2 linked regions of the Caenorhabditis elegans genome follow. The protein of the gene in region 2 purifies or fractionates together with the protein of the main gene of each other region. This does not show direct contact. Each region holds a gene or a part of one and is shown on either strand. Other genes may lie near its edges. The genes, in order: unc-16 and lrk-1.

Region 1 (4,872 bases), on a different chromosome or scaffold from region 2:
TAATTAGTGATGGACAATAGATAAATTAGACGATTTCACTTGATTTTTAATTATTAAATACAAAAAAACCAACCTGTGAGATCAGCACCGAGCAAATCGTTATTTTCCTTGGGATCTCTGAAAAATTGGAATAGATTTCAAAACTCTTATATAAATTCCTAATAAAATTTTAAAATCATAATTAACTTACACAGAAGTTGTCTCGTCAGCTTCTTCCTCTTCTGATTGTTTCGGTGAAGCAGCTTCTCGTTTAGGAGTCGGCTCTTTGGTTGTAATTGGTGAAGTCAACGCATCAGCAGATGATTGTGGAATATCCCTGGGTGATGGTTCGATATCTGATGAGAATTCGTCTTGCCAGTCTGGAAAATTAGTATTTTAAGATTTAAAAGAATGAGGGTTGCAATTTCCATTGAGAAAAGGTGCGGAGCGGGTTTTTTTTCACTTTTCAACAGGAAACATCGTACGGAATACAATTAAAAATGGTTTTTTAATGGGAAATTTAAAATTTCTTTCCAACTGAACTGGTTTATTTAAGCCAAAAAGGTCTAAAAATTGAGCAATAAACCAATGCAGTTGGAAAATAAGTGAATTTACAGAAAAAAATCCGTTGGAAATTTCCTGTTAAAAAAAGTTTTAAAAAAACGCGCGGCGGTTGCGAAAACCCGTGCCGCACCTTTGCAGCATGGAAATCGGAAGAAAACTGGCATACCAATAAAGGTTAGTTGAGGATTCGAGTTCATGTTAGTTAAAAATTATCGGAAATAAATAAATAAACTAAATTTTGCGATATATAGAATTTTTTGTATTTTTACATATTTGTGAAGGGTCGCGTAAAAAACTCACCTTCGTTTGTGATGTGATTTGCAAGATTAACATCCATCGTGGTTGATTGTGTCATATGAGCAGAAATAAGATCAGATACTCCACGAATTGATGATGCATCCACAGAAGCAGCCATGCCCATTCTGTAATTTAAATAATATCTTTTAAAAATTAAAATTTTGATTTTAGGGGACCGAACCAAGTTATTAAAGGTGGAAGAAGTGTTTGCCTAACAAAATTCTTTTTGGAAAATGATAAAATTGGGAATTTTGCTTTAAATTGTATATCGTAATGAGCGAATTTATACAATTTTTTTAAACAATAAATATAATTGAAGCATTTTCAAAGATCTATATCGTTTGCGGGAATTTAACAACAAATATCGCATTTTTTGCAAAATTGGAGAAAACATAAAAATTTAGAAAATTTTTTTAAACAGTAATTATGATCTCTTTTCTGACATTTAGAGCAGTGATAAAAAATTTGGAAAATCAAGAAAATAAAATAAATTCAAAAAAATTGGTGATTTTTATTTCTTCATGCGCTTCAAAATTTGGAGTGAAGTGGAGGATAACCAAATCGAAAAAAAATCAAAAATTTGAAAAATAAAAAAACCTTCCCGAAAAATAACAAAAATTCCAGACACAAAACTCACAATGACAAATTACTTTGATCACCACTCTTATGTAAGCGATGTGATATTGGAAACCAACTACAAACAACGACACAACAGTCAAATATTAATCACTTTTTTAAATTTAATTAAATTAAACTTACTTGTTTCGAAGTTGCATATTTGGCAATGGCATATTCTGCATTAATTCGAATTTTTCACTTCCCATTAGATATTTTGTACGTTCCATGTGATCTACATGGGTTCGTAATAGAGTATTATATCGTTCGTGGAGACGATCGAATTCGAGCTTTTGTTCCACTTCACGTTCTTCCAGACGACTGGCTGAAAAATAATACTTTTTTTAAAAATTTATCCAAGAAAAACACAAGAGTTAATAATTGAGGTGACAATTAACTAACTGTAACAAACTAACCGTGATCAGTGGCATTTTTGGCTTTCAACTCGAGCATCCTCATTATTGATTCAAGTGACTCTATCTTTTTGTCCAACTCTTTATTCTGACCAATCAACGTGTCTTCTATTTCAATATATTTCTGTTCTGTCTGCTTTCGAAGTGCTTTTTCACGTTCATATTGTGTCTGAAGCTGTTCATTGTCCTCTTTGAGCATTTCAAGTTCTGCAGTCTGCTCGTCACGTTCCAAATAGGCAAGATCCAATGCTTCGAGCACATTTACAACCAATGGCATCAGAGTCTGAAAATGTTTAGTTTATTGAATGATAATAGAGAAAGAGAGAAGAAAATTAGCATAAATTTACCTGCTGACTGGTTTAACATACTGAATTTAGTATTGAAGTAGAGTAAAAACATAGAATTTCAATTTCTGATCAAAAAATGGTCTAAAAAGTCCGAATTTCGTAAAAATATCATTTAAAAGTTCTTCAATTAATTATGACGATTCTATGTTTTGAAAAATATTTAACTATGAGCTAAAATCTACAATTTTGCATATTTTTCCGTGCCACAGCGGTCGGAAATTTATTTTCATTCGATTTTCGCTTATTTTGTCGTTTATCTCGTGTTACTTCGTTGAGTTTGGTACATTTGAAGCGATAGGCAACTAAAAATAAGCAAGATCGAAATGATGCTCAATAAAAATTCATTTCCGGCCGTTGCGACACGGAAAAGTTGGCAAAATTGAAGATTTCAGAAGAAAGAAAGCGTTTTTTTTTTCAAAACCATCAGTCTTATTATGAAATCCGGTTGTTTTGGGACATTTTTTGCGAAAACAGCCATTTAAATAAATTTTAAAGTAAAATTCCGAAAAAACTCACTTTCACGCCATCTTCTCCGTGAACTTTTATCATTGTTTCCAACTCTCGATAAATTGCCGAAGCCATTGTCTGCACTTTATCCGACATTGTTCGATGCTCATCTGGTGAGCCGGGGCCGCCGTACACAATCTGAGATAACATTTCTCCCATCAATATCGAATGCAGCATAAAAAAATCCTCCTATTACCCGTCCCAACTGTTTTGTTGTGTCTAGCGACAATCAATAATGAAGAGAGAAGTGCGGAAGAGAAACATAACGGTATTTACTGGCCGAGGAATAGTAGTAGGGGGCGACGATAAGAGAACCGAGATAACTATCGGGAGACGCTGCTGCTGCCACTCGGTTGCAACAATGGTTCATTTGCCACCACTTACCTCAGACGGTGTGCTGCTCGTAATTGAGTCTGCCATCTCATTCACCGGTGACAAATTGCAAGCCATTTTTTCAGTCGTTCTGTCGATTATTGGTCCATGTGAGAGCAAGTTGACGAGACAATTCTACAAATTATGTTGCTTTTGTGCTTTGCAATGAAAAAAGCTATGTAAATAAAGTGCCACTCCTTCGCCGCGGCGACAGAAAATCAATAAAAGAAGGCTGGGCGCATGTGTGAATCTCGTGGATGAGAGAATACGGTAATTGGCGGAAGAGGAGCGTTTTGTGCGTCACGCACTACACGCATGTCGAGTGGGTTTTGCCGTTTTGCGCTTCAGAATTTATTTTTCTATTGAATTCAGAATAAAAACACTTCATTAGAAGTTTTGCATGAATAGAATTTCAATTTGCGCCGCTATTACGAATTTTTATATAAACTCTATCAAAATTATGTGTTTCTTAGGCTATTTTTGCGTCAAAACCACGAATTTAGTGTGACAACATGTGTTAAAACAATGAAAAAACAAATACGAAAGAATCAGTTTATTACGAAATAAATCAACGTTCATCATTATCTTCCTCAGGATATTCCGGGTGGCTCAGGAACGCTAGAAGCACTTGCACCAGAGAAATCATCAGAACAATTCCCACTCCGACCTGAATTGTTGGATTAAAGAGAAAATCATGTCGATTAATATAATTTACATCCAGAAGCACAATGCAGTTTTTAATTGCTGTATGCTCGTGGGGAGCTTTGGCACTGAATGTGTACACGATGAAGAAGATGAGCGAAAGCAACGATGTGACTGGTGCTGGAGCATGATAGATGGCCAACTGAAATTTTTGTAGAATGTAAAATAACTTTCTAAAACTAGGAATTACTTTTCTTTGGCTCATTGCCAACATGCATTTAGATCGACTCAAAAACAACAGAGCGATGAATGTGATGACTGCGAGTACGAGGAAAACGCTACCTGCTGAGAGCTGAAAACGTAGAGTTAGGAACGTCTTTAAGATGAGAATTTACCATCCAAAATGACGCGAGTCCAGATACGTACCCCATTGGAATAGTTCCCTGGAGTAGAACAGTCACACTAATCATCTGAAAACCAAGAAGATTCCCAAATAATCTGCTGAAAACTAGAAACTCACAATATTTGCCACAATGAGTTTGTTCAAAAGCATATTTCTACTTTACAAAGATTTGTAACCGTATAACCCTTTTGCTAGATTTGAATTTAACGAAATGAGTAGGAAATCAAGTTAAAAGTGTTGTCTATTTTATAAATTAAAAGAACGTAGAAAAGGTCTTCACGAAGAAATTTAAAATTTATTCAAAAAAAAAAAATCAGACTTCTTTCTTGGCTTTTTTCTTCGGTTTCGACGAGGATGTTTCAGTTGATCCTCCACATTCTTCTTTGATCGTTTGCATTCCTTCGATACCGTTCAGTTTTTTCATGTCTTCTTTGCCTGAAAATGTGCAAATTTTTATTCTTCAGCATTACTATATTATCCAGATAATTTTGCGATTTTCGTCATGCTAATACGATACCCGGTCTCGATACGGCAAAGTTTTTGATAGATCCAAAGAGGTGTGCGCCTTTAAAGAGTACTGTAATTTCAGATTTTCGTTGTTATGGAATTTGCATCGATTTTTCATAGTTTCAGATAAATAAATAAATATTTAAATATCGAAAAACTAATAAAAGTCTAAAAATTCGAAGTACAGTACACTTTAAAGGCACACACCTTTCAGAATTTAACAATT
Region 2 (5,221 bases):
TGGAGATATTTATTAGAAATCCACGCAATTCGCCGGAAGTTCACGAGTTCATTGGTAGAAATCGAAATGTTTTGGTAAGTAGTTTTTCCAATTAAAAAATCCTCATCAAAATCTTCAGATTGCATTCTTCTTCAACTCAGCCCCAATTCACTACTATCAGGGAAGTCCAAATGAAAAAGAAGATGCTCAATATGCTCGGATGGCTTATAAGTTGCTCAATTGGGATATGCAGAGACCATTCACCCAGGAACAATTACAAGATTTTGAGGAGGGATGGACGCATCAAAAGAAAATGCGAGAAGGTTATTATTCATATGCAAGATTTTGCGATTTTCCCGCCAACATTACGGTGCTCGGTCTCGAAACGAACTTCAAAGAGTACTGTAGTTTCAAACTTTGTTTTCCTTATCCAGATTTTCGATAGTTTTTTCTCACGATTTTTGAAAATATATTTTTTTATTAAAAAACTTTGAAAAATCGACAGGGATTCCAAAAAGTGAAACTACAGTACTTTTTAAAAGTGCACACCTTTTTGTAACAAAAATTTGCTTTTGAATTTTTTCTGAAAATTATTTTTAAAAAATCAACATTTTCCTGATTTTTGAGAAAAAAAAACCGAAAAATCGAGAAAAAATGCCGACTTTCCCCAACGTTCTCATCATCTACAGTAACCCACATGGGGATGGACTACTATAGTTTTTAAAGGCGCAAACATGTTTCGTTTGTGCTAAATTTCAAAAAAGACTAAAAATACTTATGAAACTCGTCCAAACGTTTTTTTTTTGTAAAAACGACACCATTTTACAAAAATTGCTCATTTCTACTATGACCTAAAAGCCTAAAAAGCCCTTAAAAATTTTCAGAACAACTCGTCCGAACTTGCTTCCACGACAATAATCCAAGACTTCCGAAAGTGAATCACGTCTACCGTACCCGCATCATCCCGAACCAACAATTCCTCCGTGAACCATTAAAATTCGGAAATCCGTTCCGTCAATAATCTAGCTCTCCTATTTTTTTTATTCATATTTTTAATTTCAATTTCTCAGATATGCCATTTCATTTGATTGTGATGTGAAAATCTGTTTTTCCAGATATATTCCGACTAGATTTGCCATTCAATTTTCTGTGAATAAACCCGACTTTTTATAAAATTTACCTCCAAACACAGCTGCAACACTTCCACATTCTGTGACGACACTGCCGCATGGATTACTGTATCCTTGGATACGTGGCTTTGTAGAAGATGCTCTTCGAATTGTAATAAGTGACGGACGATTTCGATATGACCGTTTGTGCAGGCACTGAAATAAATTTTTATGGAAACAAATTTCAAAAGAAAAGTGGGAGATTTCTCTTCAAAAACTCAATTTTCATTATTATCGCAATTTGAATTCCCTCCGAAACAAGCTGCGAAACTGCTAGACCAATCAGCGACTCGATCCGCCGACTTTTCAACCAATCAAACGGAGTGGGCGGAGCTAATCGCTGAATGGTGTAGCAGGGAATTTCATACTTTTTTCGGTGTATCACAGCAAAAATATTGATCTACTAAACCGTTAATAATAAATAAACTTACATCAAGAGTGCAGTCTCATCCTCTTCATTTCGACCGTTGAATAATATTTCGCGGCTTTGTTTTCTGAAACATATAATTTTAGAAAAATTAAAAATTGAAAAAAAAACCCTGACTTTTCCATAAATCTCCTTGAAATTTCATAAACAACGTCAGCACTTCCAGATATGCATGCACTGATGATCATTGTGTGGGCTTCATTTAGATCTTCACTTTCTTTTTCTGAAAATTTACTATTTTTTCTAGAACCTTGAAAATTTTTTTAATTTTTTATGAAGACTGACACAAAAAAAAGACACTCAATTTTTTCTTCGAAATAAAAAAATCTTACGAATAGCATCAATAAGCTTTGCGGCAACCTCATTATGTCCAGCCATTTGAGCTAACTCCAATGCACAATGTCCTTCATTATCAGATTTCATTGGATCGGAGCCCAGTTCGACAAGCTCCAAAACAATCGAAGTTTCACCTGATTCGGCTGCCATATGAAGTGCGGTCTTACCACGATCGTTCACAAGATTTAGAGAATCTGGAATATTTTTCAAATTTATATTATTTCGAGTATTTCAAAAAAGAAAAGTATCACAGCTCATCCCACGCTTGTATTGTAAGCTTCTTTGAGCCCACCCAAATTCTTCCACGATGAGAAAACAAAAAAATAATCCAGTTTTTTGCACAGTTTTCATGATTTTGTTGGGTTTAGGGAAATTAAGAAAAGTTAAGAAAATTTTTTAAGAGAATTTTTTAAAAATTCTGAAAATTTTAGATTTTTCCAAAAGAAAGTACTGTAAATTTTTTATCAAAATAATTTTCATTAACCTTGAAATTCGTGAAAACCTTACTTAAATTTTTTAACATTAAAATTTTTTATTTTCTAGTAAATAAATCAGTTTTTTTTTCATTGACATGAACAAAACTTGGTAATTCAACTTTTAACAACAAATGCTTGAAATTTTTTTTTGAAAAACTAGAATTTAGTAGTGTTTACAACAGTAAATCCATCGATTTGTATCTAAAACAAAATTTTGAAAATTGGTAACTCTAGTTTATCATACACAAGGTATAGGCAAAAATGGTACAACCTCAAGAATTCTAGCCAAAAACTCTAGAAACTGTAAAATTTGTTCCTCGAGAAGTACAAGAGATGTGTGAATCTACACATCGCTAGTGTTTTATTTTTGATCCAGTATGAAATAGTTAGAGAGCCATGAAATTTAGATTTTTTGCATTTTTTTACAATTCTACGATTTTCAAAAAAAAAAACATTTTTTAGTAGCCGAAAATTTTTTTTGAAAAACCTTCAAATATCAAAAACTCACTAGGACTAAGCATTAAAATAGTCCTCAAACTATCCAGCTTCCCATTATGAGCAGCTAACATTAACGGTGTCCTTCCATGTCGATCAACCCGATTCCATACCCAAGGATTCACTTTGAACAAGTCGGCCAGCAGCTCCACGTTCTCGAATAATACTGCCTGAATAATATTTTCATTGTTTTCTAAAAATATTTTTTGAAACTTGCCTGTCTAACCAGTTGCATTGCATCCGAATTATCCAATTCTGAAGCTACATCGCTTGAAGATGACGGACCCCCACTTGAGAGGTCCATTTTGGATGTTTTCTGGAAATTTTATTGAAATAAATTTTATCCAAAGTATGTGAGAAATTGACCGGTTTCATGAAGAAAAATATAAACAAGGAAATTATTGTATGATGGTTTAAAAATTCAAATTTTGTCTAACAATTAAGGGATGAGGTCCTACCACGACTGAACAAAAAAATAGTCGTGCCTTTTTTGGAGTACTGTGGTTTTTCATTTCTCATACATTTTTCTGAAGAAATTTAATATCCCGTCCAAAATGTTCTTAATAAATTTGAATTCCCGCCGACACTAGCGGGCAAAAAATGAGGTTTTTATGTTATCAAAACATAGTTGAAAATTTAAAAAAAAACAAGATTTTATTTTAAATTATCTCAAATAAAAACTTTTACAGAATTTTAAAAATAATTTTCAAAACTTGAATAAATATTTTTTTTTTCAAATAATGTTGTTTTTTTTTGGAAAAGATGAAGCTTAGAGGAGTTAACTAATTTTTTTCTAAATTTGAGTGAAAATACATCATTTTGAAAATTTTTTCAATTAAATAAGACATATAATTTTTGAATATTTTGAGTGTACATATGACTTAAAATTTCAGGTTTGAAATTTTTATTTTAATAATATAAATTACTCAGAGAGCAAAACTCATTTTGCAACCTGTATAATTTATTTATTTGTTAACACATATATATTTCAAACAATAACATTTTCAAGTGAGATGAGCAAATATTTGATAAGAAATTGGTATATGTTACAATTACAACTAGATATATATACTAATTAAAACCAAAGAAAAACCAATCAATTTGATTACAATGTATCCATTTCTTTTTCATTCGGAAACATCAAAAAAGATGAAAAAGAGGATAATCGATGTTGACAGGGGGGAACACATTGGCAAATACTGGGGAGACATGCGCAGAAAATACGCTCTAATGAACCATCCGTGTGTCTATTTCTCTTCGATAAAGTGTGGGAAGGGTGGTTTGTTGCAATGAATTGGAAGAAAGAGAAAAGATGGACAGATGTCTGGGCACCCCTTTTTGGAACCTTTTACGAAATTGACACAGAAAATGAATTAGGGCATGTGACCTTTGTACCAGGTTAGGAAGAACTTTTGAAAAAATATAATCTATTTAAACGTGGGGTATTGGCGGGAGGAATTTGTTCAAAACTACTTCTGTAATGCTTAAATAATAAAATGTCATAGTAAAAGTTATCAAAAAAAATTGAAATTGTTAAATTTACAATCAAAAAGGAAGTAAACCGGAACATTTTTTCAACGAACTTTGCTTTCTTTTATTTGTGTTGCATTATTTTCTATTTGAGTATTCTAATAGTTTAAACCTGCAGAGCAGTTCTAAAATAATAAAAAGTCCGCTAAAAAATTCCTTAAAATTTTGACTGAAATTTTCGAAAAATCTGCAACTGTTTCTATAGTTACGATATTGGGTCATTCCAGCACCATGATAAATGTTTTTAGACTTAATATCTTTCAAAAAAACTAGTCAAAAGTCAACCTCTTTTACGTAGGCTAGGTTAAAGGGACGGATCACAGGCCTATCTGCCTGCCTTCAAAGCGACCTACAGAATGCCTACTGCAAGAGAAGTTCTTAAGCATCACTTATTGTTACGGACGTTAAAAATGAAACTTGTGTGATTTGGTGAAAAATCACTCAAAAAATAATTTTTTAAATTTTATTTTATTCTAAAAAAAATCTAAAATTGGTCTGAAGGTCAGAACGATTGTTTTAAATATTATATGAATTTTTGTAGAACCCCATTAGAAACTTTTTCAATTGAACGACGAAAGTTTCATCAGTACAAAATCTCAAACATTTTCCATGCCAGAGAAAGGGTATTTTAGTTTGAAAAATCTCAAAATTCATAATGTCTCCAGTGAAAAAGTTACTATGAAAATTCTCATCCATCCCATTTTTCGCCGTTTATTCAATGTTTAGTCAGCAGTATTTGACATGCCATCGATCCCATTTCTTTGTAAACTTCAAATAATATTGAATTTCACACGCTTTTCACATGTTTC

The links.
Region 1: the proteins of lrk-1 (region 2) and unc-16 purify together in Caenorhabditis elegans (affinity purification with western blotting; one study listed by BioGRID). This does not show direct contact.

Annotation. Positions count from the first base shown.
Region 1 is NC_003281.10:9,544,659-9,549,530, reverse strand, and holds the start of unc-16 (JNK-interacting protein), read right to left. Parts: upstream 3,237-4,872; 5' UTR 3,173-3,236; coding exon 3,107-3,172; intron 2,861-3,106; coding exon 2,732-2,860; intron 2,152-2,731; coding exon 1,872-2,151; intron 1,781-1,871; coding exon 1,600-1,780; intron 1,535-1,599; coding exon of another isoform or gene 1,478-1,534; intron 966-1,477; coding exon 844-965; intron 741-843; coding exon of another isoform or gene 710-740; intron 360-709; coding exon 191-359; intron 118-190; coding exon 74-117; intron 1-73. Other genes in the region: ZK1098.12 (DUF2975 domain-containing protein), read right to left, coding at 3,663-3,761, 3,810-3,938, 3,987-4,088, 4,132-4,206, 4,257-4,289; ZK1098.9 (uncharacterized protein), read right to left, coding at 4,453-4,574. UniProt on the Caenorhabditis elegans protein: The JNK-interacting protein (JIP) group of scaffold proteins selectively mediates JNK signaling by aggregating specific components of the MAPK cascade to form a functional JNK signaling module.
Region 2 is NC_003279.8:10,891,040-10,896,260, forward strand, and holds the start of lrk-1 (Leucine-rich repeat serine/threonine-protein kinase 1), read right to left. Parts: upstream 3,199-5,221; 5' UTR 3,187-3,198; coding exon 3,100-3,186; intron 3,053-3,099; coding exon 2,896-3,052; intron 2,106-2,895; coding exon 1,908-2,105; intron 1,799-1,907; coding exon 1,693-1,798; intron 1,643-1,692; coding exon 1,580-1,642; intron 1,305-1,579; coding exon 1,160-1,304; intron 1,151-1,159; exon of another isoform or gene 1,001-1,150; coding exon of another isoform or gene 864-1,000; intron 303-863; coding exon of another isoform or gene 119-302; intron 75-118; coding exon of another isoform or gene 1-74. Other genes in the region: mop-25.3 (MO25-like protein 3), read left to right, coding at 1-74, 119-302, 864-1,000. UniProt on the Caenorhabditis elegans protein: Determines polarized sorting of synaptic vesicle (SV) proteins to the axons by excluding SV proteins from the dendrite-specific transport machinery in the Golgi. Role in stress response.